Callithrix jacchus: one gene and its partner. The main gene of each other region encodes a partner of the protein of the gene in region 2 in a complex. Links are inferred from orthologs where the notes say so. Each region holds a gene or a part of one and is shown on either strand. Other genes may lie near its edges.

The links. Proteins that work in one complex are often made in the same cells at the same time.
Region 1: the proteins of DNM1L (region 2) and MIEF2 are in contact, whole or in part, in a cryo-EM structure (PDB 5WP9), measured with the Homo sapiens proteins. The link is inferred for Callithrix jacchus from reciprocal best matches to the Homo sapiens genes DNM1L and MIEF2. Residues at the interface, in NP_036192.2 of Homo sapiens: Asp190, Met191, Ala192, Thr193, Ser194, Leu197, Lys198, Ile199, Arg201, Glu202, Gly223, Thr224, Asp225, Asp228, Arg233, Val234; in NP_631901.2 of Homo sapiens: Val213, Asp214, Thr215, Val216, Arg218, Arg226, Leu230, Arg235, Val245, Gly246, Tyr248.

The regions. Positions count from the first base shown.
Region 1 is NC_133506.1:82,690,448-82,696,877, forward strand, and holds the start of MIEF2 (mitochondrial dynamics protein MID49), read left to right. Parts: upstream 1-2,956; 5' UTR 2,957-3,131; coding exon 3,132-3,145; intron 3,146-4,160; coding exon 4,161-4,314; intron 4,315-4,527; coding exon 4,528-4,690; intron 4,691-5,157; coding exon 5,158-6,212; 3' UTR 6,213-6,430. Other genes in the region: FLII (protein flightless-1 homolog), read right to left, coding at 471-533. UniProt on the Homo sapiens protein: Mitochondrial outer membrane protein involved in the regulation of mitochondrial organization.
Region 2 is NC_133510.1:38,771,479-38,777,162, forward strand, and holds part of DNM1L (dynamin-1-like protein), read right to left. Parts: intron 3,881-5,684; coding exon 3,760-3,880; intron 1,741-3,759; coding exon 1,609-1,740; intron 1-1,608. UniProt on the Homo sapiens protein: Functions in mitochondrial and peroxisomal division.

The sequences.
Region 1 (6,430 bases), on a different chromosome or scaffold from region 2:
GGAAGTGATCTGATCAGGATCACACAGGATGGCGGGTGGCGGTGACGAAGAGAGGGCAGTGATGAGTCGGTTCCACACCCGCCCCTGGGCAGCCGGGCTGCCATCCCTGAGCCAGGGCCTGGCTTGAGCGTGTGACCCCAGAAGGGCGGGGAGCCTCGCCGACCCCTAGGCCACCGTCCAGCCCAGGCGGGGAACACGAACGTGGGGTTGGGGCTACCGGCCAGGTCCCCGGCGAGACTCCGAGCCCAAGCGTCCGTCCTGGGCCTATCGAGCCTCGGTCTCCCGGTACAGGCACCGGGAAGAGTCCTCGGAGGTCCATTCGTGACCAGGGAAGAGACCCACCCCGCCCCGGCCGCAGTCCCGGGTACGCGCAGGACCCGGAGCCGGGCGGGACAGGAAGCGAGAGCCAGGCTGGCTGGGCGGAAGAGAAGGCTTGCAGGGAGGCCCGTCCCGCGCCCGTCCCGGCTTACCTTGAAGTCGTTGCCGCTGAGGTCCACACCGCGCACGAACGGCAGCACCCCGGTGGCCTCCATGGCGCCGCACTCGCTGCCTGGCCGGGCCGGGCTAGGGGGACGCCCGGGCGAGGGGTGAGGGGAGCCGCGGGCTGGGCCAACGCCGGCCCCGCCCCTTTAACCCGCCCGCGCCCGCCACATTCCGCCGGGAAGTGTAGGCTTTAGGCCTCTTAGGGCCTCAGTTTCTCCGTCTTTTCGGGGGCTGCAGACCCATCAAGTTGCCCCGGCGCCCCCTGTGCTGGAGCTGGAGGCTTCCGCAATCTCCAGGCTTAAATTCCCAGAGTCCCAGGGCAGGGGCCTTCAAGGCCGCTGGTCCAGGCATGGTCCCCTGTGCTGCTGTAGCAGACGAAGCTGGCCCTGACCTCAAGTGCTTGCACTTGGCTGACCGGTGGTAGTGAGACACCTGGGTCCTCGGGTCCTAGTTCTCCTGCTCTGGATGTAGTTTCCTCATGCGTTGTTTTTATTTTGTTGACACAGGGTCTTGCCCTGCCGCCCAGGCTGGAGTGCAGTGGCGTGATCATAGCTCATTACAGCCTGGAACCCCTGGGCTCAGCCTCTCAACTAGCTGGGAGAACACCACCACACCTGGCTAAATTTATTTTTATTTTTGGTAGACATGGGGGTCTTACTATGTTGCCCAGGCTGGTCTTGAACGCCTGGCCTCAAGTGATCCTCCCGTCTCAGTCTCTCAGACTGCTGGGATGACAGGTGTGAGCCACTGTGCCCGGCCCAGTTTCCTCATTTGTAAAATGCTTCCTAAGTTTGTCGCCATAAGCAAATGAACAAAGAATGCAAGTGTAGCTCGCAGCATACAGCAGGCGCTCAGTGAGTGACAGGTTATTACTCCGTTTTGTTTTGTTTTATTCTGTGTGCCAGGTTATTATTCCCACTTTGTGTCAGCACCCTTACGCTCGTGTCCCCCAAAGGGAGGGTCTAGAAGAGAAGCATCCGTCTTGGTCCCTGCTGTTCGCAGGGGCTTACCCTGGCTGACACATAGCAGGCCCCTAAAACATGAGCCACAGCTGTTATATGACTAGCCACCATTCGCAGGGGAGGAGGGGGTCTGGTGTCCCCATTTTACAGGAGAAAAACTGAGGCCCATGTGGAGAACGGCCCACACAAGGTCGCACGGAACAGGTGGCAGGGGTAGGCGCTTTCACCACACTGTGTGCCCCGCAGGCCCACAGGTTAAGAATGAAGCCACCAAGACACACTCGCAGAGGTGATCTAAGAGGTTAGATGTGCCTCGGCCCCCGGAAGTAAAGGGGGCCCAGACAGCTTCCTTCACACTCGGCGCTCACATTACAACGCACAGGCGTCTAAGAAGGCTGCCTGTCACAATACCCGGTCGCGGGCTCCGAATGCAGCCCTGCACCTTTAAATCCAGACTGCGTCAGAGAGTCCCGCCCCGAGGGAGCGTGTCAGTTGGCTGGGGGGCGGGGCATACCCTTCATTGGCTGAGCCGCGCAGTATTTTGGAACACGTGTGCTGGATTTCGCGCTCCGATTGGAGGCAGGGTCTGCTTGTCTGCGTCCTGCGGCTTCCGCGGCCGCCCCCGGGTCCCTCAACGTTGGGTTCCAGGTTCCTTCTCGTTCCATTCCCAGAAAGGTCCGAGCTTAGGGGCCGTGGTCCTGCTGCCTCCTCCGGTCATTGTGCGGACGCTGCGACGCAGGTACGGCTGGAAGGCGGCGGGGCGGCCCCCAGAGTCAACGGGCCCGGGGCTTGGTGCGCTACGGAACGCAAATCGGGGGCGTGGCCCGCCGTCGCCGCTGGGTAAGGCCGGGAGGGTTTGGGAACCAAGGCCCGCGTTCGAATCCCAGCCCGGCCCCCTTCCCCTCTTGGTCTCTCGGTTTCCCTGCGAACAGGGCGTCACCCGCTCACCTAGGGCTGCTGCGCGGCCCGCTCAGCCCAGGCCCAGGGCAGGCAGATTTGACGGAGGAGGAGGAAGGCCAGAGGGCCTCCAGGGCACCGGTGCGCAAACTCGGGTTATTTTCAGCCACCGGTGCCCTCTCCCGCTTCTAGGACCTGGAAGGCTGTGGGCTGAGGCCTGTGCGACCCCGCAAGCGGTGGGTCTGAGTCCCAATTTAGACAGGTTGGGAATATTTAAAGCGCTTTACAGTTTGCAAAGTAGATTCCTGGTCTCTCTGGGGTCGGGTGGCAGTATTGATCCCCGTGTCACGAATGAGGAGGCTGAAACCGGCCCTGGGGCCGTAGCGGGTCACCCGTTTGGCCTGGGATCGCCCCAGAGAACGTCTTATTTTTAGTCTGGGGCGAATGGGCGGGTGTCCGGGGCTGAGTCACACAGCACTTCAGGCTTCAGCTACTGCAGGCATCTGGTCACCTGGCAACTGAGCCCCTGGCACCCACACTCTGGCAGGGCAGGTAGAAGTCCTTGGTGCCCGGGCAGGCTGTGACCTCATGGTCATCTGCTCAGGCCTCTCTGGGAGAGTTCTGCATGTCGTCTGATGTCCTAAGGTCACAGCGCCGCTCAGCTCCCAGGAACTGAGGGCAGTGTCCGGCTCGCAGAACGTGAGGCTGGGGGTTGGTGGACTGGGCCGCAGGAGATCTTTGCCTCCACCTCCCAAGTGCAGGGCCCCACCCAACCACACACTGCTGCCCATGCCATCTTACAGGTGAGCAAACAGGCTGGGACCCAGGCCCTCACCTTACCTTCTCTGTTGCTTGGCCTCCTAGCAGCTGAGAAGCATCACCCACCGCCACCAAGACTGAGAGGCCCAAAGAGCCCACTGTACAGAGGTCCTGGGCAGCCCTTTTTCTGGGTCTTGATCTTTTAGGTCACCTTGCTTGTTGCCCTGCCGGAGGGGCCTCGGCCCTTGACTTGCATGTCTTCATTGGCCTGCCTGGGCAGCTTGGGCCATCTCACTCTGCCTGTGCTCTGACTTGGTAGTTCTGCCTCTTGGGGCTACCCTGTCAAGATTTGGGGGGTAACTGGTCCCAGAGGTCCCCCAGACTGGTGGGGGCCCCAAATATTGTTGGTCTTCTCTGGACTTTGGGGTCTTCTCAAGAGGTTATCATAGAGAGCTGCTGTGTCCTCTGGTTAGGAACCTTAAGATGAGGCTGCTGCTAAGGACCTGGCCACCTGGCACAGAGGATCCGTCAGACTCTGGGGGCGGATGAGAGTCTGAAGGCCTTGTAGTTGTGGGCTGGAGACCTTATCACTCACTGTGCAATCTGGCAGCCTGGAGCTCTTTAAAATACAGGTGGTGGTGATAAGACCCACCTTGCGGGTTTCTGGTGATGTCAGCGGTCCTAGAGGATAGGCCCCTTCATTGGCACAAGCCTCAGGGCCTTTGTGAGCTTCTTTCCAGGGGGTGGGTTGTTTGCAGCTTTGAGAGAAAGGGCTTGGCAGCTCCCTCATCTCATGAGAGATGGGGACTTGGGGCCCCAAAATCCATATTCCTATCCCAGCCCTGCCCTTTCTCAGGTAATTTACATGGTTCCCAGGACCTTGGTGTCCTCCCCTGTGGATGGGTCCCTTTCTCATGAGAAATTCTCAGAAAGCCCCCCTTATGGGCTCCGCTCTGTTACCCAGCATAAGGACAGCCAGAGCACCTATCCACAGCAGCCCCTCTACCAGCCTGGCCACCTGCACCCTGAGCTGTCCCTTCACCCCTGGCTCTCTTACAGGCAGACCATGGCAGAGTTCTCCCAGAAACGGGGGAAGCGGCGTGGCGATGAGGGGCTGGGCAGCGTGGTGGACTTCCTCCTGGCCAATGCCCGTCTGGTGCTGGGCGTGGGCGGGGCTGCTGTGCTGGGCATTGCCACCCTGGCCGTGAAGCGGGTAAGGCCAGGCTGGTCAGGTCATGCCTGAAGCTCCTAGAGGAGGACAGGGTTGGGCCTTGCAGAGGGGCCCTGGGGAGGGGTGGGGACTGCCCAAGGCCTTCATGGGAGACCAGGTCACCTGCTTCTCCACCCCAGCACCCTGGTCTGCTTTTCCCCTGGGCTTTGCTGTAGCTGCCCAGACTTCATCTACTCTGTATGACTCTGCCTGCAGTTCATTGACAGGGCCACTAGCCCACGGGACGAGGATGACACCAAGGGAGACAGCTGGAAGGAACTGAGCCTGCTCAAGGCCACGCCACACCTGCAGCCCCGGCCTCCACCGGCTGCCCTCAGCCAGCCCATGTTGCCCTTGATCCCCTCGCCTTCTGCCCCAGGTGAGTGGCACTCCTTCCCCTCTCACGTTGGTGGATACCCTTTTGTTGTCACATTTGAGAGATGAAGCCCAGGCTCTCCCCTGACTGACCCTGTGCAAGTCCCTGCTTCTCTCTGGGTTGTGAGCTCCTCAGACATTTAATGGGGGTGGTTTTTCTTTGCCCTGCTCCTGTAGCAAGGTGGCAGCGTTGTGATGGTGGAGAGCTTTAGATGGGGAAACTGAGGCCCAGAGGGGCATGACCTGTCTACTTCCTCTGCATGAAGCTATTTTAGCCATAGGGCCAGGGTGTTGGACTCTGGGGCAATGAGAACTCGTCACCAAGCACTCACTATAGCGAGGACCTGGACTGAGTGCCTTCCCAGGTGAGGACAGTGAGGCCCGGGGATATCACACAGCTAGTCGTTGGGTAGTGTTTTCTTAATTAATCACAGGCTGTTCCAGCATGTTCCTCGCCCCTTCACTCTGCAGAGGAGCCTGCAGAAACTGATCTTCAGGTGACACTACAGCTCAGCTCCCCAACACCGCTGTGTCTGACACTGCAGGAGAGGCTGCTGGCCTTCGAGCGGGACCGTGTGACCATCCCAGCAGCCCAGGTGGCTTTGGCCAAACAGCTGGCTGGCAACATTGCCCTGGAGCTGCAGGCCTACTTTCGGAGCAAGTTTCCAGAACTGCCCTTTGGGGCACTTGTGCCTGGGGGGCCACTCTACGATGGGCTGCAGGCAGGGGCTGCTGACCATGTGCGTCTCCTGGTGCCACTGGTACTGGAGCCAGGCCTGTGGAGCCTGGTGCCGGGCGTGGACACTGTGGCGAGGGACCCTCGCTGCTGGGCCGTGCGCAGGACTCAGCTGGAGTTCTGCCCCAGAGGGAGCAGCCCCTGGGACCGCTTCCTGGTGGGGGGCTACCTCTCCTCCCGCATCCTGCTGGAGCTGCTGCACAAGGCGCTGGCTGCCTCCGTCAACTGGCCGGCCATCGGCAGCCTGCTTGGGTGCCTGATCCTACCCAACGTGGCCTCGGAGGAGCTGCTGCTAGAGGTGCAGCACGAGCGCCTGGAGCTCACTGTGGCCGTGCTTGTGGCAGTCCCTGGGACCAAGGCTGATGACCACCTCCTCCTGGCCTGGCCCCTGGAGGGGCTGGCGGGGAACCTCTGGCTCCAGGACCTGTATCCAGTGGAGGCTGCCAGGCTGCGAGCCCTGGATGACCGTGATGCTGGGATCCGCCGGCGGCTGCTGCTGCTTCTGTGTGCTGTCTGCCGTGGCTGCCCGGCCCTGGGGCAGCTGGGCCGGGGCCACCTGACCCAGGTGGTCCTGCGTCTGGCAGAGGACAACGTGGACTGGACGGAGGCGGCCTTGGGCGAGCGCTTCCTGCAGGCTCTGGAGCTGCTCATCGGCAGCCTGGAGCAGGCCAGTCTGCCCTGCCACTTCAACCCCAGCGTGAACCTCTTGAGCAGCTTGCGGGAGGAAGAGATTGACGACCTTGGCTATGCGCTGTACAGTGGCCTGCAGGAGCCCGAGGGGCTGCTCTAGGTGGGTGGGAACAGGTGACTGGCATGTTTTCTGATGCTGGGGAGCTGTGCCCACCTCCCTTGCAGGGATTTGAAGAGTTTTTTTTCTAGCTTTCAGCCAGAACAAAAGAGGGTAGCTTACTTAAACCCACGGCACTGGTATGTGCTTGGGCTATGGTAACTGTAAACCCTGAGCCCAGAGAGCTTGGGTCACTGTCACCTGAATGTGGCTGGGCTGCC
Region 2 (5,684 bases):
TAAAAAGGAAGTAATGGGGAAAAACTGTCACATAATTTGTACTGGCAAGTATGATACTGTGAAATATGTATTTGGTCTTTGTCTCCATTTCCTGGCAGTTGGATCCTAAAATCTTTGGAGTCTCCAAGAGCCTAAGCATGTTTAAAGTGTCTTTGCATGATAATAAGATGACTGTTGGCTGGGGGTCCCTTGACAGCTTCAGGATGAGGGCCTAGTCACCAGAAAGGCTAAGGCATGATTAGAGGGCTGGGGCTTTTGGCCCCATTCTCCAGCCTCAGAAGAGGGGAGAGAGGCCACAGATTGAGCCGATCACCAATGGACAATGATGCTTCCATAAAAACTCAAAACGACACAGTTCATGCAGTCTTCAGAGAGTTGAACACATGAAGATTCCTGGAATGTGGAGGGCACAGAAACCTCCACATTTCTTCCTACATGCCCAACCCTGTGCATCTCTTCATCTGGCTGTTTATCTATATCTTTTGTAATATGCTTTATAATAAGTGGGTAAACGTTAAGTAGTTGTTTCCTTGACTTATGTAAGCTACTCAACAAATTAATCAAACATGAAAAGGGGGTCATGGGTACCCTGACTTACAGCCCATCAGTCAAAAACAGGCTAAAACCTGGCTTAAAACTGCCATCTAACTTCGGGGCAGTCTTGTGGGACTGACCCCTCAACCTGTGGGAGCTGATGCTATCTCCAGGTAAATAAGTGTTAGCACTGAATTAAAGGACATCCCATTAGAATCCCCTAGAGAATTCCTTGCTTGCTGTATGGGGAAAACTCCCCATGTATCTGATGTTAGAAGCATTCTGTGCCATACTGATTAAGTGTATATGAATGGGAAAAAAGCACTTTGGTTTATCCTAAATCATAAAAGCAAGGAAAAAAATGCAAATTATTTTCATATTACTGCAATTACCATAGAGAAAGTAAATCACTCAATCAATTCTTCCTATATAATTTTGGTTTCACTGACTTGTCATTTACAATTGGTACCCAGCAAAGTGAAAATTAATCTTATTAAGATCCAGGTCTATCAGTCTTCAGGGAAGATAAAAGTAAGAGAAAATGGCTTCTACTTCAGTCATTTATAAATCATCTAGAAAGGTCTTCTAGTCCCCCCACCATGAGTGGGTATTCAGAATCCAATGTATACAACTTAATTTATTTCTACAATAAGTAGGAAAAAAAGATACTCTATTTCTTTCTTTGTTTTTCCATCTCCCTTTTCTGGTAAATAGAAGATATTCTAAATTAAGAACAGATAACATGAAAATTATAAATTTTAATGCAGTTCCTGCAATGCAAAGTGGAAGTGAAGTCATCTCCAGTTCTGTCCTCAAAACTCAACTGACTCTCAAATTTTCATAATTAAATCATTTCAAAATCACTTGAACATTCATTCTAAACTACATGATGACATAATGTCAACCACCCCAATAAAAATAGAGACATCTATTCTTCAGGAACCTACTATATAAGAAACCATAAGGGAAGCTGTTAGACAACAGTATCAAAATGTAAGGAACTGAAAAGGAACCCTCTCAGACATCGACTGGTCAAACAAACAAATCTCATTTCCAAAAGGTAAAAAAAATTACCTGTTTAGAGTCCTAGCAAGATATTTTGTTCCATTTCTATTGGCCAGAGATGGATATTTCTTTTGAAGAAAAGCATACTCATCACGGATTGAATCAGTTACACTCTTCTTGTTGTTAATATCTAGCTGGCTCCTGAGGTTGAAACAGTAACAAAATGGTTCAACTTCACAGTTGTCCTCTTCCTACCTTAGATGATGACAGGGCCAGGCATTGTTCTTTAATACCTGACATGGACTGGTTTATTTAATTCTCATAATTTTATGTGACAGGTATTATTATCCCATTGTTTAGTAAGGAACTGAGGCTCACAGAGACTAACTTATCCAAGGTCATACGCTAACTGGCATAGTCAAAACTTGAACTATTTGAATTATAACTAGTGACTAAATAGTGTAGGCCTCATTATTACCATTAACTATAGACAAAAACAATAAGTAACACGTACAGACAGGTATAAAAATGTAAAGAATATCTCAGTGACCTGTATATTTTATCCATGGACAGGGAACTAATTTCTACCAAAAATTAAGTTAATTTGAAGAACAGTCATCAACAAACAAGGAACAGTGTTAACACCACTTGCTTACCTGAAAAAGGAGACAGTGGGAAATGTGAGTGGGGATGAAGGAATCAGAGTAGGGGTGGGATGCACAATAAAACAGAAGCGGACACTGGAATGGATCTTATATATCAGGTAGTAAAAACATTTCCATTTTCTTTTTTTTTTTTTAAGACAGGTCTCACTCTGTCACCCAGGCTGGAGTGCAGTTGGAACAATCAGCTCACTGCAACCTCTGCCTCCTGGGTTCAAGTGATTCTCTTGCCTCAGCTTCCCAAGTAGCTGGGACTACAGGCACATGCCACCATGCCCAGCTAATTTTTTGTTTTTAGTAGAGATGGGGTTTCACCATGTTGGCCAGGCTGGTCTTGAACTCCTGACCTCAGGTGTGATCCACCCGCCTTGGCCTCCCAAAGTGCTGAGATTACAGGCGTGAACCACCGCGCCCAGCCAACATAATCATTTTATAAAGACTTAAGACCCAAAGACATTAGGTGTCATTTAAACCTACATTGTATCTAGTTTATGGAAGACTAGAACTCAGATTTCACGATAATTTCTGTGTTTCCTACCATATGAAGGCTTTGGACTAAAAGAGATATTCATCCAGATCCAGCTCTTTAACTACCCATGTGACTTTGGGTTAAATGTGTAACCTGAGGTTTCTGATTATAAAATAGACATCAACACCTACCCACCTACCTCAGGGGATGCTGTGAGGATTCCAAGAGATACCATTTGCAAACTGCTCACAGTAGAGTGTCTAAAACGTAATTAGACACTCAATAATAGTTTCCTTTTCACAATTTTTAATACCAGCTATTTATAATTAGGATACCTTTAGTAAAATTTCTCCAAGTTACATCCTGGCAATTACAAAGAATCACTAATGCTAGGGATTAAACCAATCTATTAAAATCCTGCCACCTTAAATTCTTTCTCGAATGGGTGCACATTAGGTAATTTTTCCCTTACCCAGTGCGTCCTCATACACAGCTTAACATGATAGGCAAGAACTCTTAAAGCCTGGCCATTACGACACTTCTTCCATTTTATGGTACTGCTTACTTTAGAAACATTTTCTATTGAAAATGTCTACTGGGCCAGGGATAGTGCCTAATCCCTGTAATCCCAACAGCTGGGAAACCAAGTGGGGAGGACTGCTTGAGCCCAGGAAGTCAAGACAAACCTGGGCAACATAGCAAGACCTTGTCACTACAAAAAAATTTAAAAATTAGCCAGGTATGGTGGTAAATACCTGTAGTCCCAGCTACCTGAAAGGCTGAAATGGGAGGATCGCTTGAGCCCAGGAGGTCGAGGCTACAACAATGAGCCACAATCACACCATTGCATTCCAGCCTAGGCAACAGAGAGAAACCCCGTTTCCAAAAAAAAAAAAATTTCTATGAGAGGCTTTAGTGAATGAATCTCTTTTCTCCCTTTAGGGCAATGGATTCTTTTAGCAATACCAAATCATAGTAAAAGGGAGAAAAAAATATAGGACAGCATCACATTTCAAACAGATTTTAGAAATTCAGACTTGCTCTGAAGTGAGACTACTACTAATTCTTATTCCATTTTTAACTGCTAACCTGTTAACTACTCCAATTATTCCAAGCTTGACTGGAATAACCCTTCCCATCAATACATCCATGGCATCGGTACCCGCATCCATGAGATCAAGTTTAGTGATTACAGCTAGGGTTCTGCGACCTGGTAAATGGAAAAAGAGAAGAGGGCAAAGAAAAGAAAGAAAATGATCCATCAAATAAAACTATTAATAAGGAAAACCCTCATCTATAATCCCACTTAATATGAACTCTGTCGTCATTTTGATAATGCCTTTCTTACCAGTGCTTTTTTAAAAATAATTTTAAACATTGTGTACAATTTTAAAAATATTTCCGCCAGGCACAGTAGCTCATGCCTGTAATCCCAGCACTTTGGGAGGCCAAGGCAGGTGGATCATCTGAGGTCAGGAGTTCGAGACCAGCCTGATAACATGGTGAAACTCTGTCTCTACTAAAAATACAAAAATTAGCCAGGCATAGTGGCCGGCACCTGTAATCCCAGCTACTTGGGAGGCTGAGGCAGGAGAATCGCCTGAACCCCAGAGGCTGAGGTTGCACTGCACCAAGATTGTGCCGCTGCACTCCAGCCTGGGAGACAGAGACTTCATCTCAAAAAATACATATATACATATACATAAACATATTTCTTTCGCATATAATTTTTGTTGGCTCTTATGGCTATATTATAAGCATTTTAAAATTTTGTTTAAAATTTACATCCAGGTGATGTGGCTCATGCCTGTAATCCCAACACTTTGGAAGGCCAAGGCGGGCAGATTGCTTGAGCCCAAGTGTTCGAGACCAGCCTGGGCAAAGTGGTTAAACCCTGTCTCTACAAAAAATACAAAACTTAGCAGGGTGTGGTAGTCCTAGCTAAAGGTGAGGCTGAGGTGGGAGAATCACCTGAGCCCAGGAGGTCAAGGCTGCAGTAAGCCGTGATTGCGCCACTGCACTCCAGCCTGGGCAATGGAATGAGACCCTGTCTCAAAAAACAAAAACTAAAAACATTTACTCTTTTTTTTGGTGTACAATTCTAAGAGTTTTGACAAATGCCAAGAGATGTGTTACAACCAACTCAAGACACTGCTGCTCTACCACCAAATTTTCTTATGCTAGCCAATCAAACCTATTTTCCATTCCTAGTTTTGCCTTTTCTAGAATGTTATATAAACAAAATCAGACAGTACATAATCTTTTGAGTCTGGCTTCTTTCATTTAGCATAACGCATTTGAGATTCATTCATGGTCTTGCATATTAACAGTCCATTTCTTTTTATTGCAGAGTAGTGTCCCATTATATGGATGTACTACTATACCTTAGTTTCACTCCCCTTCTGAGAAATATGAGTTGTTTCTAGTTTTTAGAAATTATGAATAAAGCTGCTGTAGACATTTGCGTATAGTTTTTTATATGAACACTGGTTCTCATTTAACATGGTTAAACACCTAGCAGTGGGACTGCTGATTTAACTTTATACGGAACTGCCAGACTGTTTCCCAAAGTGACTATACCACTCCCACCAGCAATATATGAGAGTTCCACCTGTTCTGCATAGGGTACAACAACTTTATCTGCATAGTGTACAACTTTATCTGCATAGTGTACATTTTTCAGTGATAAGCATTTTTCTTTTTTTTTCCCCCCCTTTTTTTTTTGAGAGAGTCTTACTCTGTCGCCCTGGCTGGAGTGAAGTGGCACAATCTCAGCTCACTGCAACCTTCATCTCCTGAGTTCAAGCAATTCTTATGTCTCAGCCTCCCCAGTAGCTGAGATTACAGGCGTACACCACCACGCCCAGCTAATTTTTGTATTTTTAGTAGAGATGGAGTTTCACCATGTTGGCCAGGCTGCTCTGGAACTCCTGGCCTCAAGTGATCCACCCACCTCAGCCTCCCAAAGTGCTAGGATTACAAGCATGAACCACCATGCCTGGCCTATCAGCATT